Rhinolophus ferrumequinum: one gene and its partner. The protein of the gene in region 1 purifies or fractionates together with the protein of each later gene. This does not show direct contact. Links are inferred from orthologs where the notes say so. Each region holds a gene or a part of one and is shown in the gene's direction. Other genes may lie near its edges.

Evidence for each region.
Region 2: the proteins of GNG8 (region 1) and GNB5 purify together in Homo sapiens (co-immunoprecipitation; 3 studies listed by BioGRID and IntAct, with this or other methods). This does not show direct contact. The link is inferred for Rhinolophus ferrumequinum from reciprocal best matches to the Homo sapiens genes GNG8 and GNB5.

The regions. Positions count from the first base shown.
Region 1 is NC_046298.1:42,778,947-42,789,900, reverse strand, and holds GNG8 (guanine nucleotide-binding protein G(I)/G(S)/G(O) subunit gamma-8), read left to right. Parts: upstream 1-7,438; 5' UTR 7,439-7,749; coding exon 7,750-7,833; intron 7,834-8,024; coding exon 8,025-8,153; 3' UTR 8,154-8,199; downstream 8,200-10,954. UniProt on the Homo sapiens protein: Guanine nucleotide-binding proteins (G proteins) are involved as a modulator or transducer in various transmembrane signaling systems.
Region 2 is NC_046289.1:55,792,917-55,805,878, forward strand, and holds the start of GNB5 (guanine nucleotide-binding protein subunit beta-5), read left to right. Parts: upstream 1-7,093; 5' UTR 7,094-7,229; coding exon 7,230-7,341; intron 7,342-12,962. UniProt on the Homo sapiens protein: Enhances GTPase-activating protein (GAP) activity of regulator of G protein signaling (RGS) proteins, such as RGS7 and RGS9, hence involved in the termination of the signaling initiated by the G protein coupled receptors (GPCRs) by accelerating the GTP hydrolysis on the G-alpha subunits, thereby promoting their inactivation.

The DNA.
Region 1 (10,954 bases):
ACTCTGGTCAAAATGGAGTAATATGGATGACCTCCCTTCCTTTTTAAGATTCTAAGACTTACTCATAAAAAATAGCTAACACCCATTGAAACTTATGCCAGACTCCATTCTCAACACTTTATATATATTGACTCGTTTACTCCTCACAATCTCATGGGAGGCAGATACTATTATTGTGCCCACTTTACAGATGGAGAAACTGAGGCATAGAGGTTAAGTAGTTTACCCAAAGCTATTAAATAACAAAGCCAGAATTTAACTTCAGGCTGCCTAAGAGTCCAGGCTCTTAACCACCGCCCTATAGAGTATATTTGCTATGTGGATTATCTCTAGAAAGATACACAAGGAGTTGTTCACAGAGATGGAAGCTGGGGGGTGTGTGGGTGGGGGTTGTGGACATAAGTAAATTTTATAATCTTTTAAAGGTGACAAAGACAATGAGGAAAAACCAAGCAGAGGTATGAGTGGGATGGGGGAGCAAAAGAGTTTGTAATTTTAGGTAGGTAGAGTGATCAGGGATGGTCTAATTGAGATGGTGACATTTGATTGAACAGAGACCTGAAGGAGGGATGACGTTTGTGGATACCTTGGGAAAGAATATCCTAGGCAGAGGGGTTAGCCTGTGCAAAGGCCCTGAGGCCAAAATCGTACCTATCATGTTGGCAAAATAGCTAGGAGACACATTACTCCAGGGTGTCTGGAGTAGCGCATGAGGGGGAGAGGAGAGGTGAGGGCAGAGAATACTAAGGGCCACTACATAATGTGGGGCCTTGTGGGCCATGGTGAGCATTTTGGTTTTTACTCTGAGGGAATCGGGAGCCATCGGAGAATTCTGAGCAGAAGAACTTAGTTGTTTTTTTTTTTTTTTTTGGGGGGATGAGGTTAACAGCTCTCTCTATTAAGATATAATTCACATACAATGAAATTCATCCATATAAAATATGGAGCTTAATGGCTTAAAACAAATTTTTTTGTTGTTATAGGAACTTTTAAGATCTACTGTCTTAGCAATTTTCACATTTGCAGTAGAGTAACAGTATAAACTACAGTCACCATGCTGTACTTTACATCTCTATGACATTTAATTTATAACTGGAAGTTTGTACCTTTTGGTCACCTTCACCCATTTTGCTCATCCACCACCTGCCTCTGGCAACCACCCATGTGTTGTCTGTATCTATGAGGTAGAATTTTGTTTTTTTAGATTCCACATATGAAAGAGATCATACAGTATTTGTCTCTCTCTGTCTGACTTATTTCACTTAGCAGAAGGCCCTGAAGGTCCATCCCTGTTGTTGCAAATGGTATGTTGCAAATGGCAAGGTTTCCTTCCTTTTTATGGCTGAATAATATCCCATGGTGTGTGTGTGTGTGTGTGTGTGTGTGTGTGTGTGTGTGTGTGTGTCATATTTTCTTTATCCATTCACCCATCAATGGACACTTAGGTTGCTTCCATGTCTTGGCTATTGTAAATAATACTCCAAGGACCATAGGGGTGCAGATATCTTTTCAAGTTAGTGTTTTTATTTTCTTCAGAATTGTTGGGTCATATGGTAGTTCTATTTTTAATTTTTGAGGACCCTCCATACTGTTTCCCACAGTGGCTGCACCAATTTACACTCCCACCAATAGTGCACAGGGCTCCCTTTTCTCCACACCCTCACCAACACTTGTTTCTTGTCTTTTTGGTAACAGCAATTCTGACAAGTGTGAGGGGATAGCTCCTCATGAGTTTGATTTGCATTTACTTGATTAGTGATGTTGAACATCTTTTCATGTACTTGTTGGTCATCTGTATGTATTCTTTGGAAAAATGTCTATTCAGATCCTCTGCCCATTTTAAAATCAGATTGGGTTTTTGCTATTGTACGAGTTCTTTATATATTTTGATATTAATCCATTATGAGATATATGGTTTGCAAATATTTTCTCCCATTTGGGAGATTGTCTTTTCATTTTGTTGATGGTTTCCTTTGCTGTGCAGGAGCTTTTTAGTTTGATGTAGTCCTTCTTGTTTATTTTTGCTTTTAGTGTCAAATCCAAAAAATAATCACCAAGACTGCTGGCAAGGAGCTTACCACCTATATTTTCTTCCAGGGGTTTTATGGCTTCAGGTCTTTAATCCATTTTGAGTTAATTTTTCTGTACGGTATGATAGTGGTCCAGTTTCATTCTTTTACATATGACTGTCCAATTTTCCCAAAACAATTTATTGTAGAGACTTTCTTTTGCCCATTGTATATTCTTGGCTCATCTGTCTTAAATTAATTGACCACATATGTGTGGGTTTATTTCTGGGTTCCCTATTCTGTTCTATTTTTATGCCAATACCATACAGTTTTAATTACTATAGCCTTGTAATATAGTTTGAAATTAGGGTGATACCCTCAGCTTTGTTCTTTTTTTTCTCAAGACTGCTTTCGCTATTCGGGATCTTTTGTGGTTCCATACAAATTTTAGGATGTTTTGTTCTATTTCTGTGGAAAATACCATTGGAATTTTAATAGAGATTGCTTTGAATCTGGAAATGGCTTTGGGTAGTATGGACATTTTAACGTTAATTCTTTCAATCCACGAGCATGGAATAGCTTTTTATTTATTAGTGTCTTCTTCAATTTATTTCATCAATGTCTTATCAATGGCTTTTAGTATAGTCACAGAGTTGTGCAGCTATCACCACTGTAAATCCCAGAACATTTTCATCATCCCAGATAGAAACTGCATCCTTAGCTGTTGTCTTCCAATTTCCCCAACCCCTGGCAACCACTAATCTACTTTTGTGTCTATAGATTTGCCGATTCTGGACATTTCCTATAAATGGAATCCTGCAATATCTGGTCTTTTGTGTCTGGCTTCTTTCACGTAGCATATTTTTTCAAAGTTCATCCATGTTATATGGTTTGTGTCAGAACTTCATTTCTTCCAATCACCACATGATAGTCCACTATCTGGATAGACCACATTTAGTTTATCCATGCATCAGTTGATGGACATTTGGGTTGTTTCCAGTTCGGGACTATTCTGAATAATGTTGTTATGAACATCCCTGTCCAAGTTTTTGTGTGGACAGATGTTTTCATTTCTTGTAGGTAGATACTTAGGAGTGGAATTTCTGGGTTATGCGGTAACTCTGTTTAACCTTTTGAGGAACAGCCAGATTGCTTTCCTAAGTGGCTGCACCATTTTACCTTCCCACCAGCAGTGTCTGAAGGTTCCAACATCTCCTCACTAACACTTGCTATTTTCTGGGGACTTCAGTTCAAACAGGGTCACTCTTGCTGCTCTGTGGGCACCAGGCTGAGAGAGACAGAAGTGGAGGCTGGGAGCCCAGTGAGGAGTGACTGTACTAGTCCACGTGGAAGGGACTGGTGGCTGGGCCAGAGTGGGGACAACAGAGGAGGTAACAAGTGATTGGACTGTGGCGAGAATTTGAACATGGAGTTAATGGGACTTATTGCTAGATCATGTGTGGGGTGCAAGAGAGCGAGGGGTGTCAAGAATGACCCCAAAGATTTATTATCAACTGAGATGGGTAAGACTGCTGTAGGAGTGGGTTTGGTGTGTGAAATCCAGAGCTTAGTTTTGGATGCATTGATTTTGAGAATCTCACCAGATACCCAGGTGGGAATATACAGCAAGCGACTGGGTATTTGGCCCTAGAATTACTGTTGGCGTCCATTGCACGTTTCTTGAATGATTAAAGCCAGAGTTGAATCCGAATCCAGGGTCTTGGTTCCCCCCTACCCCCCAAGAAATGGGGACAAATAATACCACTGACTACTAGGTTGTCATGAGGCAAGGGCGTTTCCTGTGCAGCACAGAGCAGGACTGCACACCTGGAAACTAAGGTCACGCGTAGGGTGGAAAAAGGGCTGAGGTCTACAGCTTGGGAGAGAAATGGAGGTTACACTTGGTTCAGGCAGTGTCAGTCTGTCAGCCTCTGGCCGCCGTCGGGGAGGGGAAAGGGAGGTTGGGTCGTCACCTTGTCCACCCCCGCTGTTAGTTAGGTTTCCTCCTGGGGGCTGTCGGGGCCAGCACTGATGATGGAAACCAGCTGCGGGAGGCGCCGAGGCTGGGCGCACGCCCAGGCCCCTCCCCGGCGCCGGCAGACCCTGCTAAGGGGGAGACTAGGGCGCCCTAGCTCCCCTCCCCGCTTCCGCAGCGGGGCCCGGGGCCCTGGCATGTCCGGCGCGCCTGATGCTTTCCAGATGTGAGCCTGGTTCCCCTCCCCCACCTGGCCCTGCAGCTCGGGCGAAGTAGGGGAGGAGGAAAGCCAGGGTCCGCCACTTCCCTATCAAATCGCTACACCACGGATCTGGGCTGGTGTCTCCTCCCCGTCGGTCTCGCTTCGCAGACCAGGCCGTAAAAACCGAATTGAGATGGGCTCATTGCGGTAGAGGCGCTCCTTTCCCCACCTCCACCTCTTCCCAGGGCTCCCGCCTCCGCCCCTCCCGCAGCAGTCTGGGGTGGTCGGGACACGCCCCACCCAGGCCACGCCCACATTCTCGACACGCCCCTCCAAACCTTGCGCTGGACCACTCCCCTTAGAAACCCCGAGGCCACACCCCTGGACGCACCTTTGTAGGCCCCGCCTCCGCCACTATCCCCTGTGGAAGGCGCGGTCTGTATGTCTGCCCGCCTGTCCCTGTTTGGGAGTCTGTATGTCTCGGTTCCTGTCTCCGACCCTACACTTCTGTCTGTGTGTCTTTCCTGTACCTTCCCAAGTCTCTGTGTCTCTGTCTGCAATTCTCTGCTTGTCCCTGTCTCTGAGTCCCTAGGTCTGTCTCTCCAAATTTCTGTCTCCATATCCCTGTCTCTCTGCGTCTGCCTCTCCCTGCATCTCTGTCCCCCTCTCTGAGTCCCGGTTCATCTTCAGTTCTCTCCCTCCACTTTCCTGTGTCTCTCTCACAGCGGGCCCGCAGGGGCTCCTTGCCCTCCTGATTTCCACCTCCTTTTACGGCTTTGGCTCCGGTGGGGTGGGCGGTTCGGTGGGCCGCGGGCGCCCTCGTGTGGCCTTCAGGGGACTGTCAGGAGAGGACAGAAGGTTGTGTGTGCTGAGTGCAGGAAAGACGCTGTGGGTGTCCGGGGGTGACACCGAACCATGGTGTGTGACACAAAGAGATTGTATGAGTGTGTACTACTGTGAAATTGTGCGTGATGCCAGAGGTTGTGTGTGGCTGTGTGACCTCGTGAGATGCTGTGTAACAGAGTGTCACTGTGTGAAATCTTGTTATACCTACAGGTTGTGTGTGACTATATGTGAGATGAGAGAGGTAACATGTAGGTGACTGTGCGACATCGTGAAGTTGGTGTGCCTGAGACACTATTTGGGGGACTGTGACATCAAGAGACCATATGCGAGAGTGAGAGATTGTGTGCGAGAGTGTGTAACGCGGTGAGGACATGAGCTCTGTGTGAGTCACATGGGCACATGATGTGTGAGGCTGAATGAATGTGATCCACCCAGAGATGGCGTGAGAAGGCAGTGTGAGCGGCCCCGGGGGACTGGGTGTGACAGAGAGACTGGGTGTGAGACAGTGTCAGCCACACTGATGAACTGTGAGAACTGTGTGTGACGCAGATCGTGTGGGAGATGACAGACTGGCACAGCATTGTGACAGGGAGTGAGTGTGAGACTCTGAGAGCACTCAGAGATGAAAGTACAAGCGAGACCTTGTGTGTGTAAATGTGTGACAGCGGGAATCTGCTGTGTGAGGGTGACAGCTGTGTATGATACAGACTGTAAGGCTCAGCAAGAGATTCTGTGCATGACAGCGTGTGGGTGGGGACAGAGTGTCAGGGAATGTGTAAGGTGGTGTGCGACAGAGATTGTGTAAGCATGAGTGTGATTGTACGTGGGAGTCCCTGGATATGTGACTTACTGTCATATCTGAGGTAGTGTATTTAACTGGTTGGGCGCAATGTCATTGAGGGTGATGTGGCACCCTCTGAGACACACGGACTGTGTGGCATTTTGGGAGGCCATGTGACTGTGGCACTGTGGGACATGGTGTGTTGAGCACAGGTTGTTCGTGAGACTGTGTGGTCACGCCGTGTGACAAAGCGAGATACTGTGTATCTCTGTGTGAGGAACTGAGCGTGTGAGCGTGTGAGCTGAGAAGGGGTGTCTGTGAGGGGATGACAATGAGGTGGCGGCTGTGACACGGCGGGAGAGCGTGTGTGGTGGAGTGAGAGGCTGTGTGGACACACGGAAGAGATTTGTGGAACTGTGGGGTAAATGCAGCAGGGTGTAGGGTACACCTTGAGAGTCTGTCTTTTTCCTGTGAGTGTGTGTAAGAGGGAGACAGATTAAGAGGGGAGACTGGGAGATAGAGAACAGGAAAGAGACACGGAGAATAGGAGCGACAGAGACATAGGGAGAGAGACACAGAAACAGAGACAGAAGGGGGACAGACACACACAGATGGGACTCAGAGAGAGACAGACCCAAGGTGACGAAGGGAGTGGGGATGGCGGTGGCAGCATCAGGAGGCGGGTCCTCAGGGGCTGCACCTCAGGGGAGGGGGAGGGGAGGGGCGGGGCTGGGCAGGGGGACCCAGAAGCTGTCTCCCAGCCTTCACCACCAGCCCGCCATCCCAGCCCTAGGCAACAGCAGGTAGGAAGCTCTGGTCCTGGCCCCAACAGTTCCTCCCTGTGCTCATCAGTCAGCGTGTCTGCCTGGGAATGAATGAGTGAGTGAGTGAGTGAATGAATGACTTTATACTTCTGTGTCTCCGTTAACCTGTCGCCTCCAGTTGCTCCATCTCTCTCTCTCTATCCCTGGTCCCTTCTCTCCTCTGTCCCTTTATACCCCTGTGCTCCTCTCCCTCCTCTGCTATCCCTGTCCCTTCCTCTACCCCTACACGTGTCCCTATCTCTATCCTCTCCCACCCCCTTCGCCTCATCCCTCCTGGACTCCTCCATCTCCCCTTCTCCATCCACCCCCATCCCTTTGTCCTCTGTACCTCTCTCCCTCTATATCACTCTGCCCCTTTCTTTACCTTTTTGTCCACCGCCTACTCCCTCCATCCCTCCCCCATGTCTCCATCTCTTTCTCTCCCTCTTCAATCTCTTTCTCTCCCCTGTGCCTCAGTCTCTCCCTCTGTCACTTTGTCTCTCCCTCTGCCCCTCAAATTTGTCCCCCTTTTCATCCTCTCTGCCCCTCTCCTAGTCATGTCTGGATTGGGCCCCCTCCCCCCCCAGCCCTATCTCTGGCTGCTAATGAGCAGAGGAACCTTTGAGGTGGCCAGGGCTGGGGTGGGGGAGCTCCCCGAGGGGGGCGGAGGGGGCAGCTGCTGCCAAAGTCCTAATGAGGCCCCCTCTGTGCCCCTCCCGCCGAGATCTTAATTCCTTATTCTCCCTGGAGCCACCGCTAATTGGCCTGGGGAGGACCCCCCTCCTGGCTCATGCCCTATCCCTGGGGGCTAAGGACACCTGGATCCTGCTCCAGCACCTGTGGCCCTGTCCTTCTGTCCCTCCCACCACCTGCCTCTCAGCATCGAATCTGTGCTTCCCTCCTGCCTTCCTCACCCCTCTCTGTCCATCCCTCCCGCTGCCACTAGGTCCCCCGTCTGTGCAGCTCTCCATCCCTGCACTTTTCCCTGGTTTCCTATAGCTCCACCAGCCTCTTCCACGCACACCCCAGGTGCTGGGTGCCACCACACCACCGCCTCCCTTACCTGGCGACCCAGACTTGTCCCTAGCCTGTCCCACTCCCGCCTGGCCTTTAACTCCTTCCCCGCCGCAGCCATGTCCAACAACATGGCCAAGATCGCGGAGGCCCGCAAGACTGTGGAACAGCTGAAGCTGGAAGTGAACATCGACCGCTTGAAGGTGCCTGGTCGGGATGGGAGGAAGGCGGGAGCTCAGGGCTGGGTTTTGACCTGGAGTTATTGGGAGTGGGGCCCGGAGCCTCGGAGGCGGGGTGAGATCCCCTCCGAACAAGGCTGGACCCGGGGAGGGGTCCGGGCAAGGGGCAGGGCCTTGGGCGGGGCGGGGCGTGAACATCACCCGGGCACCCGCAGGTATCGCAGGCGGCGGCGGAGCTACTGGCCTTCTGCGAGACGCATGCCAAAGACGACCCGCTGGTGACGCCGGTACCGGCCGCAGAGAATCCCTTCCGCGACAAGCGCCTCTTTTGCATCCTGCTCTGAGCCTTCCTGAGAGCTTACCCTCCCCTGCCAAAGTATGAATCCAATAAACGTGGTAACTGTGGTGGTGCCTGTGCTTTCGGGGAAACTGAGGCACGCGCAGGGCATGGGTTCACCGTGGAGGAACCTGTGTCCCTTCTCACCCCTTCTGAGTGTGTGTGGGGGCGGGGGTAAGGTTATGTGGGGTGTGTGGATGCAGAGGTGTATGGGAGCCCACTGAGGGCTCCACAATCCTGAATTTAGTTAATCGTCCCAACAGCCCCAGAAGCATCTGGCTACTTGTATAATACCCGTTTTACAGATGAGGAAAGGGAGCCAAAGGAAGTCCCTTACTCAAAGTCACACAGATAGAAGGTAATGGGTTGAAGACTTCTGCCTGCACTGCTCCCTGGACCCCTCAGCAGGGCTCTCTCCTCTCCTTCCTCCCTCTTGGGTTGGAGACTCTTTGGGGCCCCTGTGTGCTCTTCCCACCTTTCTCATCCCTAAATGAATCCACCCCTTTCTTTCACATCTGGCTACCCCCTGCCACAGGCCTACTCCTCTCCTTAAGCACTGAACTCTGTTCATTCATTCATTTGTTCATTCTTCCAAGCACTCCCTGAGTACCTGCCCTGTGCTGGTTGAAGCTGGGGACGTGGCTGTGACCCAGACAGCCCTGGCCCTGCCCTCTTGGGGCTCAGAATCCAGCGAAAGAGACACACATGTCCCCAGATAGCGATGACTCTGAGTGGGCAGGGCTGGGGTGGGGAAGCTCAGAGGGAGCCTGTGACTCAGCTTGGGGGTCAGGGAGGGCTTCCTGGAGGAGGAGACATCTGAGCTGGTATATGGTGGTAATAAAACTTGGCACCCAGAGAAGAGAGAAGTGTAGCTAGAGGGAGAGGAGACAAATTAATGTGTATATTCCTTCAACAATTTTTTTTTTTTTGATCTGGGGACACATGGGTGACTGACAGCTCTGGTTCCTGCCCCGTGTTTCCCATTTCACACATTGGTAGCCCACAGGACATACTCATATATAGCCTGCAGTTATATAATTTTTTTGCTTTCTACTTTTGGCCTACACAATATTTAAAAATGTTCTTGATTTGGTTGCCAAACTGAAAAACAGTAGTTCACATAGGAGTCCATACTTCTAGCTTCCCCTGAACTGGAAGGTCTGGTGACCTCATATCTACACAACTCCACAGGGTGACCGGAGGCTATGAGATGGGACCTGGGCTTTCCAGCTCGTCAAATTCCCCACCCTGCCCTGTTGTCTCTCAATTGAGGAGGCAGAGGGCCAGTTGCTATTTATTATGGAGCCTGTGTTGGGGGCTTTTTACAGTGGAATGAAGAGAAAGGTGAAATGTCTTGAAATGACTGTTGAAAATGAGGAAATACAGACTAAGTGAGCTGTGGGTTTGGTTAATTATTTTACCTGGTTGGCCCAAGGGCCACTGAGTTCATGACCCCCTCCCCACCCCAAACCCCACCTCCTCTTCTCTGGAGGTTAACACCCCTGCTCCCTAGATCTGGATGGAGACTGGCTCACTGAGTCTCCCCTCCCTCTAGGCAGCTGTGTACAGTTTTGGTAAGTGCTCCATTATTCACTTTGGATTAGGATCCCCTGGGCCCGAACTCTGAGCTTCCCGTTGAATTAAGACAGGAGCAGCTGTAATTACATCTCCCTCCTGCCTCCCACCTCTCAGCCGGCTCTGGCTTGGTTGCATCATGTCTGTGGGAGCCCCGGGGGAGACAGGGGACAGAGAGAGCCAAGGATGAGCTGGGGGTTGGTGTGGCAGGGTGGGAAGGGATGCTGGGAGGGAAGTTGCCGGGAGGATTCCGGAATTTCTCCAACCCAGCATCTTTGCATCTTACAACCTGAAATGTGAAGGAATCTAGAATCCCAGGACGTGAAGGGCTGGAATTCTGGAGTCTTTCAAACCTGCGGGACCAGGATTCTGGGGTCCTGCCCCCTTGTCCAGCACTTCAGAAGTATAAGAATTTCTTGAGCTTAGATGTTGGGATTTAACCCTCTCAGCCCTGGGATCTTGGAGCTTCCTTTTTGGAATTCCTGGTCTTGGGGAATAGAAGCTGAGGAGGAGCAAGCGAGGCTGGCTGACTTGGAGTAGGGGGGAGATTTCTGCCTGGAGTAGGGTGGAGGGGAGCTGGGTAAGCCTGGACACAGACGCTGGTCATGACAGAGGCTGGAGGGAGGGGAGGCCAGAAGGGACAGGGTAGGTTCCCCACAGCCAGCCCCCCTGCATGCAAACACAGATAATCTTGTTAGGGGGTATGACACTGCAACACCAGCTTCTGGTAACCAGCTCTTCTTTCCTGCCACCCCCTCTCCTGCTGGGAGGTCAGCTCTGTGGTCAGTGCCTGGCCAAGGGGCAGAGAGGTAACCGCCTAGGGAAGTGCCTCCTCTCTGCAGGCCCCTCCCACTTCACCCCCAACACTCAGGACTATTGGCTGCCCCTCCCAGGCTGTCTTTCCTTCCACCCTGCACCCCAGTGCTCAGAGCAGTGCTTGGCATTGCCGAGGGGATCAGGAAGACGTAGCTCAGAGCCAACCGAGCCACGGTCATGGCCATCACTCATGGGGAGTCCTGTTTCCGTGCCACATCTCACTTAATTCTTAGGTAACTGTCAAAGGGACTCTGTTCATCCCCATTTTACAGTCACAGCAAACAGGCCCGGAGAGGAGATGTCACCTGGCCAGTTGGGGCTTGAGGTTGGTGTGGAGCGATGGGTGTGCTCAAGAGGGACTGGAGGAGTTGGGGACTTGAAGGAGAAGGACAGAAGGGAGGGTATTCCAGGTGAGGG
Region 2 (12,962 bases), on another chromosome or scaffold:
AGCCCATGCCTCGGTTTACCGACTGAATTTACCGACTCTTTTTACTAAAAATGGTCCTGCAGAAAGAAGTATTTATTATCTCAGACCCCTCTGATTTTTAAGAGAATATTTAATTTGAAAAGAACCATATGAAGTATTTATGTATGTATATATATTTAAAACGAATATAATGTTAAAGCTTAATTGTTACATCTATCATCTGCTCTGAAAGAACATTTTTTTAAATCTTGTCTGCCAACATATTTGCCATCATTTTTCATTACTATTTTCCATACAATAACTTTTTAAAACACAAAGCTTAAAAAAGCAACCTAAATGATTTTCTCTATCTTATCAGCATTCAAATATGTTTTACATTTTTCTCAGAAAAGTACTTGAAGAATTGTATCAGGTTCCTCCTTTTGAGAAGTCACTGTTTCCCAAGTTTTATGGGAACTGACTATTCTTTGGCCTCCACACCCTCCACTCCTCCCTTTCAGAGCATAAAACATCATTTAATAAGCCTCCTTGCCTGTGGCCGGTGGGCCAAGCGCCCTTCTGCAGCACCGCATGAATCCCAACTGGCAATTCTGTTTCTGAAAGCCACAGGCAATCGGCGTGCTTCTGTAACACAGACGTTTATCTTAGCAGTGGAAATAATATATGATCACCCTAGTAGTATGTAATAATGTCTTTTCACATTATAAATGATTTAATTTAGTTCATTTAGATACACTGTATATGAAGAAATGAAAAGTAGACCTTGTAATAGTTTAATCAATAAAATGAATTCCCGTATGAATTGGGTCAGATTCTTTTAATTGCTAGGAGATTATATTTTTCTTAAGTGCACAAGTTTATGCCTTTCTCTATGGGTCATACTTACAGATGGAATCTTTATAGAGTCATTATATCTCTTAAAACGTATATAAGAATTTTTAGAGAGGAGTAAATATGCCCTAAGTCCTAGCTCAGGCGGTGTCTCCGTGGCTGCCAGAATGAGAGGATACTTTCAGAGAGTCGGCTGGGTTTCTGATCTGCACCACGGCCTTCTCCATGCTCCTTCCAGACTTCCCCTATGCCCTGAGGAGCCCATCACCCTTACTTTTCGGCTACCATAGCTCCAGGTTCTCGCCCTGGGTGAGCTTACCTGGCCAGCACTTACCCTGGGCTGTAAATCAGTCATGTTCCCCATTTCCCCCACTGGCCTGTGAGATTCTGGAGAGCAGGTCCACATCTCACTCATCCCTGCCTTCATCTCGATGGATGTTGGCCAGGTGGAGAGAAGTGCAGGAGCCCGGTACTATTGAGGGGGCAGGGTTTGGGAAGAGGAGGCGGGGGGGGGGGGGGGGGGAGTGGGGGGGGGTTGTTGGTCAGCATTGGGAAGGAGTGGATCTTGTTTGGGGACAAGACAAGGGGACCTGCAGAAGCTAAGAAACGTATGCATGGAGAAGGGGTAGTGGGGGTTCTCTCTACATGGGGTAGTGGGGGTTACAGTGTTGATCAGTGCTACAAAGCTGAAGGTGGGCACGGTGGCCAACATTAAAGAGGTGCGGGTGAATTGAGGACAGTGAGAAGGTGGGAGGTGCCAATAACCTCCAGTCACAGGTGAACAGAACATCAGGATTGCTCGGTGGAGCAGGGTGTGGATTCACAGGCAAACCTCTGAACTCTGCCTCCCACTGAGGGCAGAGAATTGAGCTCAAGAAACTGGCCCACAGGGGTTCTGAGGGCACCTGGCAGCACAGATGGGCAGAAGGTTCAAGGGGTAAGTGACGCAAAGCGCAGTGAGTGCCCCAGCAGTGAACACGGAGCTGCAGGGTGGCAGGGATGAAGCAGCCGCGCTGTAATGCCCAGATAAGGAGATTAGACAGGATGCAATCAGTCCCTTTCCCACCGTCACCTTCCAACTGCAGCTCTAACTTCTCGCCTTTCTGCTGATCAGTTCCAAGTGTTGAGTCTGTGGAAGGTATGGATGTGTTAACATTAAATTAATACTCAGGCTTTCTGAAATGCCCAGGTAAGTGTTCAGATGTGTACATACCAAGGAAGAAGCTGTTTTGTTTTTAAAATATGTTTAGTATTGGCATTAGGGAATAAGTTAAGCATCTTGAAATCATTTAATCAGTTTTAAAAATTGATCCAGGTAACACTTTACATGTCAACATAAGCCTCCAAGTGCAGTTTACTGACTTGAAAGAGGTTTTTGACGTAAATATTATATAGTCATAATAAGTTTGGGAGATAAAGCCACACTGTCATGTGTATCAGTGGTTTATTCTTTTTTATTGCACGAACATATCACAATGTATCTAGTCTACTGTTGGTAAACATTTGGGTTTTTCCAGTTTAGAGCTATTATGAATAAAGCTGCTATGACATTCGTTTTTTGTTTTGTTTTTGTTTTTTGTTTGTTTGTTTTTTACCAATTTATACCCCTCCAGCAAGGAACGAGGTCCAGTTCTTCACATCCTCGCCCACACTTCAGATTGTTAGTCTTTTCCATTTTAGGTATACTGGTGGGTAAGTAGTGATACCACAGTGTGATTTTAATTTGCTTTTCTTTGATGACTAATGATGTTGAGCACCTTTTTATGTTTATTGACTACAAGAATATCTGTATTTGTGAAGTGTCTCAATAAGTCTTTTACCCATTTAAAAATAATTTTTATTGAGATATAATACACATAAAACTCACCATTTTAAAGCTTACATTTCAGTGGTTTTTAGTATATTCACAAGGATGTGAATTATCTAATTCCAGAGCATTTCCATAACCCCAAAAAAGAAACCCCATACCCATTAAGCAGTGTTCCCAACCCCACACCCCATTTCCCCCTGCCCTCCCCCTCCCAACCTCTAATCTACTCTCTGTCTCTGTGGATTTGCCTATCCTGGACATTTCATATAAATGGAAACATAACTTGTAGCCTTTTGTGTCTAGCTTATTTCACTTAACATAATGTTTTCAGGGTTCATCCATATTGTAACATATACATATACATATGTTGTAACAACATTGTAACAAGAACTTCATTCTTTTTTTATTGCCAAATAACATTCTACTGTATGGATGTAACACGTTTTATTTATCTGTTCATCAGTTGATGGACATTTAAATTGTTTCCACTTTTTGGCTTAAATACTGCTACAAACATTTGTGTATAAGTTTTATCTTGGGTATATGCCTAGATAAACCCAAGTGGATTTGCTGGGTCATATGGTAACAACTCTGTTTACTGCCAAACTGTTTTCCACAGCTGCTGCACCGTTTTACATTCCCACCAGCAAAGTTCTTTTGCTCATTTTTAATTGGGTTAATGAAGCATTATTTTAAAAGTAAAAACTGGAGATACTCTATATATCTAAAAATAGGAGATTTGTTTAATAAATTATGATACTCCATAGTATAGAATAATACTAAAGTTATGACCAAAAGAAAAAAAAACAGCTCTATAAGTGCTAACAGAATAAGGTAGGAGAAAAAAACAAGTCGCTAACAGCCCCAATTATATAATTAACAAAGCTGTATCTATGGTGTCAGAAAATATGGAAGAATATGAACCAAACTAAATAAGGAGAGTAGATGCGGAACAGGTAACGGGGACTTTTCCCTTTTGACTTTCTATATTTGGCATTGACTCTTTTAAAAATAAATATGGGGTGGTGGGTTTTTTGGTAATTTTTAACCATATATTTAGGTGAAACATTTCAAATAAATTTTGTGTTTGGTGCAGGGTAAGCAGAAGGTTTGAGAAGTTCTACAAACTTCTGCAGAGCAGCTTTGTGTAAAAACTTATTAAACTGAGGCATTTTTATCTTTTTCTTGTCAAAATGCTTATTGAAGTATTTGCTCTGTAAAAAGTTCCCTCGTCATAAAGAGGATTATTGACAATAAGTACAATAGAATGGTCTAAAATGAAATTTTGCTCATGATATAAATATTAAATGGAAAATATCTGGATGAAAAGATATAAGAGTATACATGAACAGTGTAACTGCAATGGTCCTAAAAATCTTGCATGTGCCAAAATGTGAAAAGGAGTCTCTGTGGGCAGGGATCATAGGTGATTCTTTTCTTCCTTATACCTTTTTCATTTTTCCAGACTATTTACCATGACCATAACATTTATGGTTGTAAAATGCTATAATCTTTCAAATTTGGTTTGTAGCTTGCCCATGTGTAACCAACCAGATCTAAAATGTGATATGATTCAAGGTTGATATGACTCAAAACTTGTGGTCTCCATTAAAAAATGGTGTTTTCCAAGAATATGCAATGACATGTGAAGAAGAAAACACTGTTAAGCAAAATACTAAAGTTCAAAATTGTATATGGCATATAATTCCAATTTTTTAAAAAACATATACATATATGCCTATAAAGATGTGAGAAGAAGACACAAAATGCTAACAGAGGTCAATTATTTGTTAGTATAGGGCATGTGGGTGATTAATTTTCCTTCTTTGTGTCTTTCTGTTTCTAATCATTTATAATGAAAACATGTACAGCTCTTATAATTTGAAAAAAAATTTTAATTCAGTCTGGGAATGAAAACATTGTCTCTATCCAGATTTGGAATATTAGCAATTTTTTCAGCTTCTCTTTCTCTTGATCTCCTACAACTCCCAGCCATCCTTCTGTTCCTTCCCCACTGGTTCCCTCAGTTCCTCTCGCCTTCTATTCCTGCAGCTGCTACTCTGTCCAGAGCTCATTTCCTCTTCCACACAATGTGATAATAATCTCTTAACCTAGCTGATTTTCCTGCTGTACAGTCTGTCTCTGACCTACTTCTAGAAGCACAAATGCTGGAATAATCCACTTAAATGACGTGGCTCCCTTGCTAAAAAACCCATGGCTCACTTTCCTAATGCGATTACTTGGAGTCTTCAGCACAACCTTGTGACTGGCTGCCTGGGCAGGCTCGGGCAGTGGGAGGCAACATTACTGGACCTCTACCACGGGCCAGGCTCTAGTGGACCAGCTCTTTTGTGTTCTTGAACTCAGTTGTGACAAAACAGAGCAGCTTGGTGGTGCTGGCTCCACAGTAGGGGTTGTGGAGTCCCACTGCATACAGAGTCAGGCTCCACCGCTGACCTTGAACTCATTGAATCCCTTGGACAGCATTTCCTTAGCTGTCACACAGATGTCCTGCCTCCCTCTCAGGGTGGTTGTGAGAGGTCAGAGCTGATCGCTTCTGCTCTCTCACCTACAAGGGACTGTCCTCTATTCCTTTGTTACCTAGCGTTCTCAAGAACTATGCCAGCTGCCCCTTCGCTGGAGGAGTTCACCCAATTCATGATCTTCACATTCTCCCTGCAGCCCCACTGTGACCTCAGCATGACAGATATTCCCCTCAGCGGAATACCTGCCTTACAAATACATCCTGCCTTACAAATACATCCTTGAAAATGTGGCTCTGTTGAAATATACAAATCAGTGCCCCCAAATATCTTTATACTCAGGAAGTCATTTCTTTAAACCTTGACGTGGCCCACTCTTTGAAACACCTATTCAATTGGCACGTCTACGATGGCCACTCCCTTCCACCTTCACCTCCTCGTCTTCCATCTCCAGCAATGGCACCTGACCCCTCAGCCTCCCGAACAGAAACCTAGGAGATACCATAGACATCTCCCTCTCGTCTCCACATGTCTCCGAGTCCAGCTCCTTCTCCTTCCTAAGTGTGGTCCACATCCATCCCACACCAATGCTTAGTTCAGGCCTTCCTTGCTTCTTGCCTGGAAGAAGTAGCCATAGGCTCCTCTCTGCTCTTTCCGCGTCTCCCGCTCCACCCCTCCCCTCCTTCCTGCTGCAGCTGCTACTGCTGCTGCTGCTATTACAGCCACTCACAGGGCAGCATAACATCTCTGGAGCACTCACTATATTCCGGCCTTGAGCCAAGTGCTTCATGCACTGTCTCTTAGAATTCCCCTGACAATCCTATGAAATAGATTTTTAAGATCCTCACTTGATAGATTAGCAAACGAAGATTCAGAGAGTTTGAGTAACTTGCCTAAACAGTGCGGCCAGGATCTGGCCAGCCAGAGACAGCATCCTCAGCCACAAGATGGTTTTGCTTTCTCCAGGTTACCCTTCCTTCAGTGGCCTGGGCCTGTCAACTTCCGGGTGTTAGGCAGGGACCCTGGGTCTGTGGCTGTCAAATGTTTACCAAGTAAGTGGGATGCTGCATTCCGGGCAGGGAACCAACACATTTACTCAGCCTCATGGCTTTGGTTGGGGTCAGGTTCCACCATTTTCTGACTCTTGTCTTTACTCCAAAATTTCACCCTGATGAGAGGAGTTTTTTGTTTTTTAATTATACTGTTCATTACAAAGATGCTTTCTGTTTTGAAGCCCCACAGGTTAACACTGTGCTGCAAAAATCCAGGTGTCCTTGTCTGCAAGCTGCCAAAACAACTGGTTAACTGTAAGTTCAGAAAACCTATTGTCTGACGCTTTCTTGCTGATTAAATAAATGAGTTGGTGTTGACCCAGCATGTTGTAATAAATCAAAGTTTACAAATTAACTGCATATACTTTATCCTACATGTAGAGGTCTGAGCAACTACCATGATAACAGGAAGACGAACTTTAAAAAAGCTGTTTCTGTTGGTTTTTCTCACACACTTACATCCCTTTTTTCTCTCTCTTTTCCAGCTTCATCTTGGGTAAAAGATGTGTGATCAGACGTTTCTAGTTAATGTATTTGGCTCCTGTGACAAATGTTTCAAGCAAAGGGCTCTGAGACCAGTTTTCAAGAAATCTCAACAGCTCAGCTACTGTTCAATATGTGCAGAAATTGTAAGTGCCACTTTTTAAAAATTCAAGTGGTTGCCTGTCTTAAAATGATGTCTCATGTGAGGGTCCAGTGACGGATAAGTTGTTATAGAAGCAGTTTACACACACAAACGTTTTCAGCGCAGCTGGACTAGGTGAGGCAGTATAGCATGGGTGGGGGGTTAGGGTGTGAACTCTGATCTCTGACTTCCTGGGTTCAAATCCTAGTTCTATTCCCCCGTGTGCCAAGCGGGGGGCGCCGAGGGGGCGCTGTGCCCGCAGGCGACGCCCGCGGGGAGGTGGGGTCGGCCCAGCAGCCGGGCTCGCAGCCACCCGCGTCAGCGCCGGAGGGCGGGGCCGCGCGCGGAGGAGACCGGCTGGAGCTGCGCCTGTGGCCGCCCGGCCTCCTCCCGCAGCTCACCCGCATCCCGGCTCTCGGCTTCCTTCCCTGCCGCGTCCCCGCGCGAAGATGGCCACGGACGGGCTGCATGAGAACGAGACGTTGGCGTCGCTGAAGAGCGAGGCCGAGAGCCTCAAGGGCAAACTGGAGGAGGAGCGGGCCAAACTGCACGACGTGGAGCGTGAGTGCGGGCCGGGGCGGGGGCTGCGCGCGGGGAGGCGGGCCGAGGAGACGAGACCGGGCTCCCGGGATCTGGGCTGCGGGCGGCCTGGGCCCGGGGCGGGATGCGGGCCTCGGGTGTCCCGGCTCCAGGTGAGGCGCTGGGAGTAGCCCGAGCACCCAGGCGCGCCCGTGTGGGGCAGGAGCTGGGCGGCCCTCGCAGGCTCCCGGCACCTTACAGAGCCGCCTCTGGGCCGGGGCACCTGATGGTAGCAGCCCCTGGACGCTGGCCTCCCAAGGAAGGATCGGGGACCAGTTACGGTCATCACCTGCCTGCAAGATGCAAACTGATCGAATTCTTGCCATTCCCAGGCGGAGCCGGTGGAGGGGGGTGTCAGTGGTGGCAAGCACAGCGAGCCCTTGTGGGCGCGGCCTAGGGTAAACTGTCTTGTTTTTTCATTATTTGGCTTTCTCCATCACTGTTGTGTCTTTTCTCAGTTTTGCTTTTACATGGAACCAGACACTGATTTTAGAGCTCGTTATTCCAATCTGCCCACTCTCCTTGGAGGTGGAGAGCCGGAGGGGGGAAGCAGAGGAGCTTACCACATCCAACCATTTAGTTCACTTAAGGTTGTTTGAAAAGCTTTTGGATGGATGCCGTATGGTTAGCATCAGAGACTAATAGCAGTCTTACACAAACGTCATTATTGACCACGACCATAATTCAGAACAGGCTCTCTGATACTTTTTTTTTTTATGAGTGAGCCATTAAATAGCCAGGTGAAATGACTCTTGGCAGGATCAGCTCCCCTGTTCTGTGTCCAGTGGTTCATCCTCAGCAGAGATTGGGCTGGGGCCAAGCTTGGGGAAGTGGTCTTATCTGCTTACGTTTCAGCTCTAAGGGTGGCAGCTCCCCTTTGCTGAGCAAGGCCTCCCGTTGGTGCCCTCAGACACACCTTTTCATGGTGCTCCTGCCGTTCCTATTTGGTACCACCCCCCCTTTAAATTCTATTTGGAAAAGAAAAATGGGGTTCATGCTAGGTCCTTTAGTACCTGATTCCTTTCTTTGAAAATCACTTGATAGAAGCAGGTGACCTGATTCTAAAGTATGCTGTGCTTTCGAAGGGGCCTCTTTTAAATAGGAAGCACACTAAGCCCCTATGTCATTTAGAAACATGTCCAGCTACAAAAAACCATAAACCCCTAATAAAATAGTTAAGCAAATTGGGAGTTATTTTTCGTACATAACAAGAACAAGGGTAGGCGTCACCGCTTTGGTTCAGCTGCCTTCAGGGACCCACACTTCTGTCTGTCTTCTCCACCACCCTGAGAGCAGTGGCATTTGCCCCACAATTATCATATCACTGCCACAGCTCTAAACATCACCCCTCTATCCAGGGCAGAAAGAAGGTGGAATGTGGGTACCAACCTCTGTTTCTCCCTTTTATCAGGAAAGCAGTTTCCCCCTAAACCTCATTTCTCCCCAACAGGTTTTTGCTTACACTTCATTGACCAGAACTAGGTCACGTGGCTACTGCAAGGGGAGGCTGGAAAAGGGAGGACTGAGCTGAGCATATTGTCATCCCCAAGCAGAGCTGGGTTTCTGTTATCAGGGGAGAAGCAAGGAATGGAGATTGGGAGGCATAGGACAGAGTCTTCCCCATTTCCCTTTGCAAATTCCTACACTCTGCAGATGGTAACGATGATGCAATGAGTGTGCTTTTAGTGCCTCTGGGGTAGGTCTGATTTCTCCATTTTACAGATGAGGAAACTGAGGCACAGAGGTCACAGGGCTTTCGGAAAGACCCCAGATAATAAGTGGTGGGATCAGGATTCCAGCGCAAGCAGTCAGTACTCCAACCCAACCTCACTTCAGCTTCATGCCTGGTCCAGAGGGGCTCTCCAGAGGGACACTCAGTAGTGCCCACTGGGATACTTTTCAGCCTTTTCTGTGCATTTGCATTCTGTGCATTTGCAAATTGCTTTAAGGCAGAGAAATAGTCAAGATGCAGTTTTTTCAACAAGGAGTCCCTGTCCTGCCAAGAATGCAGTGCCCTCAAAGGTCACGGCCAACTTTGGACTCACAGTAAGAGGATCTATCCTCACCTGCGTATGAGTCAGAATTTTTGAGTTGAAAAGACCAGAAGTCATGTGGTCATGTTCCCGTCTATGCCCCCTGAAGCTTCCAGACCACTCGCTACTCCTACATAAAACCCTGGCTCTTCTGAGGCTCCTGTCATTTGGCTGCCATCCCTCTTCTCCTCCCCCACGAGCTGTCTTCTGACCTCCCAGCCAGGCCCCCTCATTTCTTAAGGACGTTAGCACATGGCTTGAGCCTTCCTTTTGACCCTAAGCCCTGGTGTCTTCAGGGTTCACAGGGGTGACCCTCCAAACACACTGGCCCCTCACTCTGTGACAGCCCCCTAGGATCTTGTTAGCACTCAGAACTGCTCCTCGTCTGACCACAGTCTCTCCCTTTGGAGATCTCCGTGATCTAGCATCATTTGGCTCTTCTCTCTTCCAATCTCTCAGCTTCTTTCTATACATGTTCACATTTTGGTGGTGTTATATAGGTGGCTCTGTGACCCCTACCCCAGTTGGGGAAACCTCTTTAGATCATAAGCTTAAAGTGACCAAGTTATCCCAGTTTGCCTGGGACTCAGTAGTAAAGCAGATATTCCTGCATCCTGGAAAACACTTCAGTTCTGGGCAAACCGGGAAAGTTGGTCAGCCTTCTGTTAGCTCTGACTTGCCCAAATTCTTGGCTTAAAAAATAATCAACACGGGGCCAGCCCGGTGGCTCAGGCGGTTGGAGCTCCGTGCTCCTAACTCCAAAGCCTGCTGGTTCGATTCCCACATGGGCCAGTGGGCTCTCAACCACAAGGTTGCCGGTTCAACTCCTTGAATCCCGCAAGGGATGGTGGGCAGCGCCCCTGCAACTAACAACTGCATCTGGACCTGGAGCTGAGCTGCGCCATCTACAACTACGATTGAAAGAACAACAACATTGACTTGGAAAAAGGCCTGGAAGTACACACTGTTCCCCAATAAAGTCCTGTTCCCCTTCCCCAATAAAAAATCTTTAAAAAAAAAAAATCAACACAACAAAATTGTACAACATGAACTTGGAGGAAAAGTGAACTTTCCCCAATTCCAGACCCTCGTTTCTTCACCTTCCATCCCTTTGACCCTCAGACAGCAGCCATTCTGTGGGGCCCTCATGCCCAAGTCAGACCCTCCTCAGCCAATATTACATACAGGAAGTGGCTTATGTGGGCAGCCTAAAGGGAAGCCAGCCTCCATCAAACTCCACAGCCCTAGGACCCATGTCCCCGTCTCTGCCTTTCCCTTATTCCTGCAGAGCTTCCTGCCCTGGATGTTTCTCCTTATCCCTTCAGCTTGCCTTCTGCCATTTGTAAGTGCTTCCTTGCTTGAGTCTAAGGCATTTTGGAATCATGAGGTTAAATTTTGTATTAGTTTCCTATTGCTGTTGTACACATTTCCACAAACATAGTGGGTTAAAGTAACCTAAATTTGTTCGGTTACAGTTCTGGGGGTCAGAAGTCTAAAATGGGCCGCCAGGCTGCATTCCTCCTGGGGCGCTAGGGGAGAATCCATTCCTTGTCTTTTCAGCTTCTAAAGACCATCTGCATTCCTTGGCTTGTGGCCCCACATCACTCCAACCTGGTTTCTGTCATCGTATCTCCTTCTTTGACCCCGACCCCCCCTTTTTTTTAATTTATTGGGGTGACAATTGTTAGTAAAGTTACATAGATTTCAGGTGTACAGGTCTGTAATACATCATCTATAAATCACATTGTGTGTTCACCACCCAGAGTCAGTTCTCCTTCACCATATATTTGATCCCCCTTACCCTCATGTCCCACCCCCCGCCCCCTTTACCCTCTGGTAACCACTAAACTATTGTCTGTGTCTATGAGTTTTTGTTTCTCATTTGTTCGTCTTGTTCTTTTGTTGTTTTTGGTTTATATACCACATATCAGTGAAATCATATGGTTCTCTGCTTTTTCTGTCTGACTTATTTTGCTTAGCATTATACTCTCAAGATCCATCCATGTTGTCACAAATATTCCTGTATCATCTTTTCTTAACGCCGAATAGTATTCCATTGTGTATATATACCACAACTTCTTTATCCATTCATCTATCAAAGGACATTTTGGTTGTTTCCATGTCTTGGCCCCCGTAAACAAAGCTGCAATGAACATTGGAGCACACGTGTCTTTATGTGTAGATGTTTTCAGATTTTTTGGGTAGATACCCAGGAGAGGGATTGCTGGGTCATATGGTAATTCTATTCGTAATTTTTTGAGGAACCTCCACACTTCCATAACGGCTGCACCAGTCTGCATTCCCACCAATAGTGTATGAGGGTTCCGTTTTCTCCACAGCCTCCCAACACTTGTTACTATTTGTCTTGTTGATGATAAGCATTCTAACTGGGGTGAGGTGATATTTCATTGTGGTTTTTATTTGCATTTCTCTGATGATTAGTGATGTTGAGCATTTTTTCATATGTCTGTTTGCCATTCTTAAGTCCTCTTTGGAGAAATGTCTCTTCAGGTCCTCTGCCCATTTTTCAATTGGGTTGTTTGTTTTTTTGTTGTTGAGTTTCATGAGTTCCTTGTATATTTTGGATATTAGCCCTTTACCCGATCCCCCCTTTTATAAGGATCCTGTGATTCCATTGGGCTCACCTGTAGAATCCAAAATAATTTTTCCATACCAAGATCCTTAATCACATCTGCAAGCTCCCTTTTACCCCATAAGGTCACATATTCACAGGTTCCAGGGATTAGGATGTGAACATCTTTGGAGGGCCTGTCACACAACCCTTTAAACTAGAGGGGTCACCTGCTTCATCCTCAGTCTTCAGGCACAAAAAGTTTTCTTCTCCTCCCAATAACCCCACCCCCTGTCCTTATGGATGAGAAAGCAGCTGAGGTCTAGGGAAGGTTGAGGAGATTTCCCTAAGGTAATGCAGCTGCTCTAAGAGGCAAAGGGGAGTAGGTGCCAGGGTTCAGACTCCTAGTACAGCTTTCCTTCTCACCATACCAGGCCATCTTTCAGAAAGTTGAGATTTACTAAAAAGGAAAAAAAAAAGTAAATCCACGTGTATATGTGAAAAGGTGTCAATATTTTGGGAAAAAAACAGCAAAATGCTGGACAGTGTATATAACATGATCTCATTAGCTTAAACAAGAGATGCTTGCGTATGCATTAAGTTTGTGGCAGGGTACATGAGAAACTGATCTCTAGAGAGGGCCCCCAGGGAGTGGGAGAAGTAGAGGTTCTTTTCCCTTTATACCCATGTGTGCATTTACTGCTTTTATAATAAAGAATGAGTACTGGAATGGGAGTCAAGATCAAGACAAAAAGGAGAGAATTCATCTATAAAGAGTCCTTCACTTGAAGTGAATCTGACAAATGACTCAGAAGACAGGCTAGCAGCAGAGCAGGACGGACACCAGGTTGATTTCAGCCAATGTGGATGGCAGCCTCCTGGGGCTGTGTGGAGCTTCATCCAGCTCGCCAGCTCCTCTGGGGCACATTGTAATATTGTCTAGGAACAAAGCAACTCAGAAGATTTATGTAATTTCTCTAAGTACAACTCCAGATGAA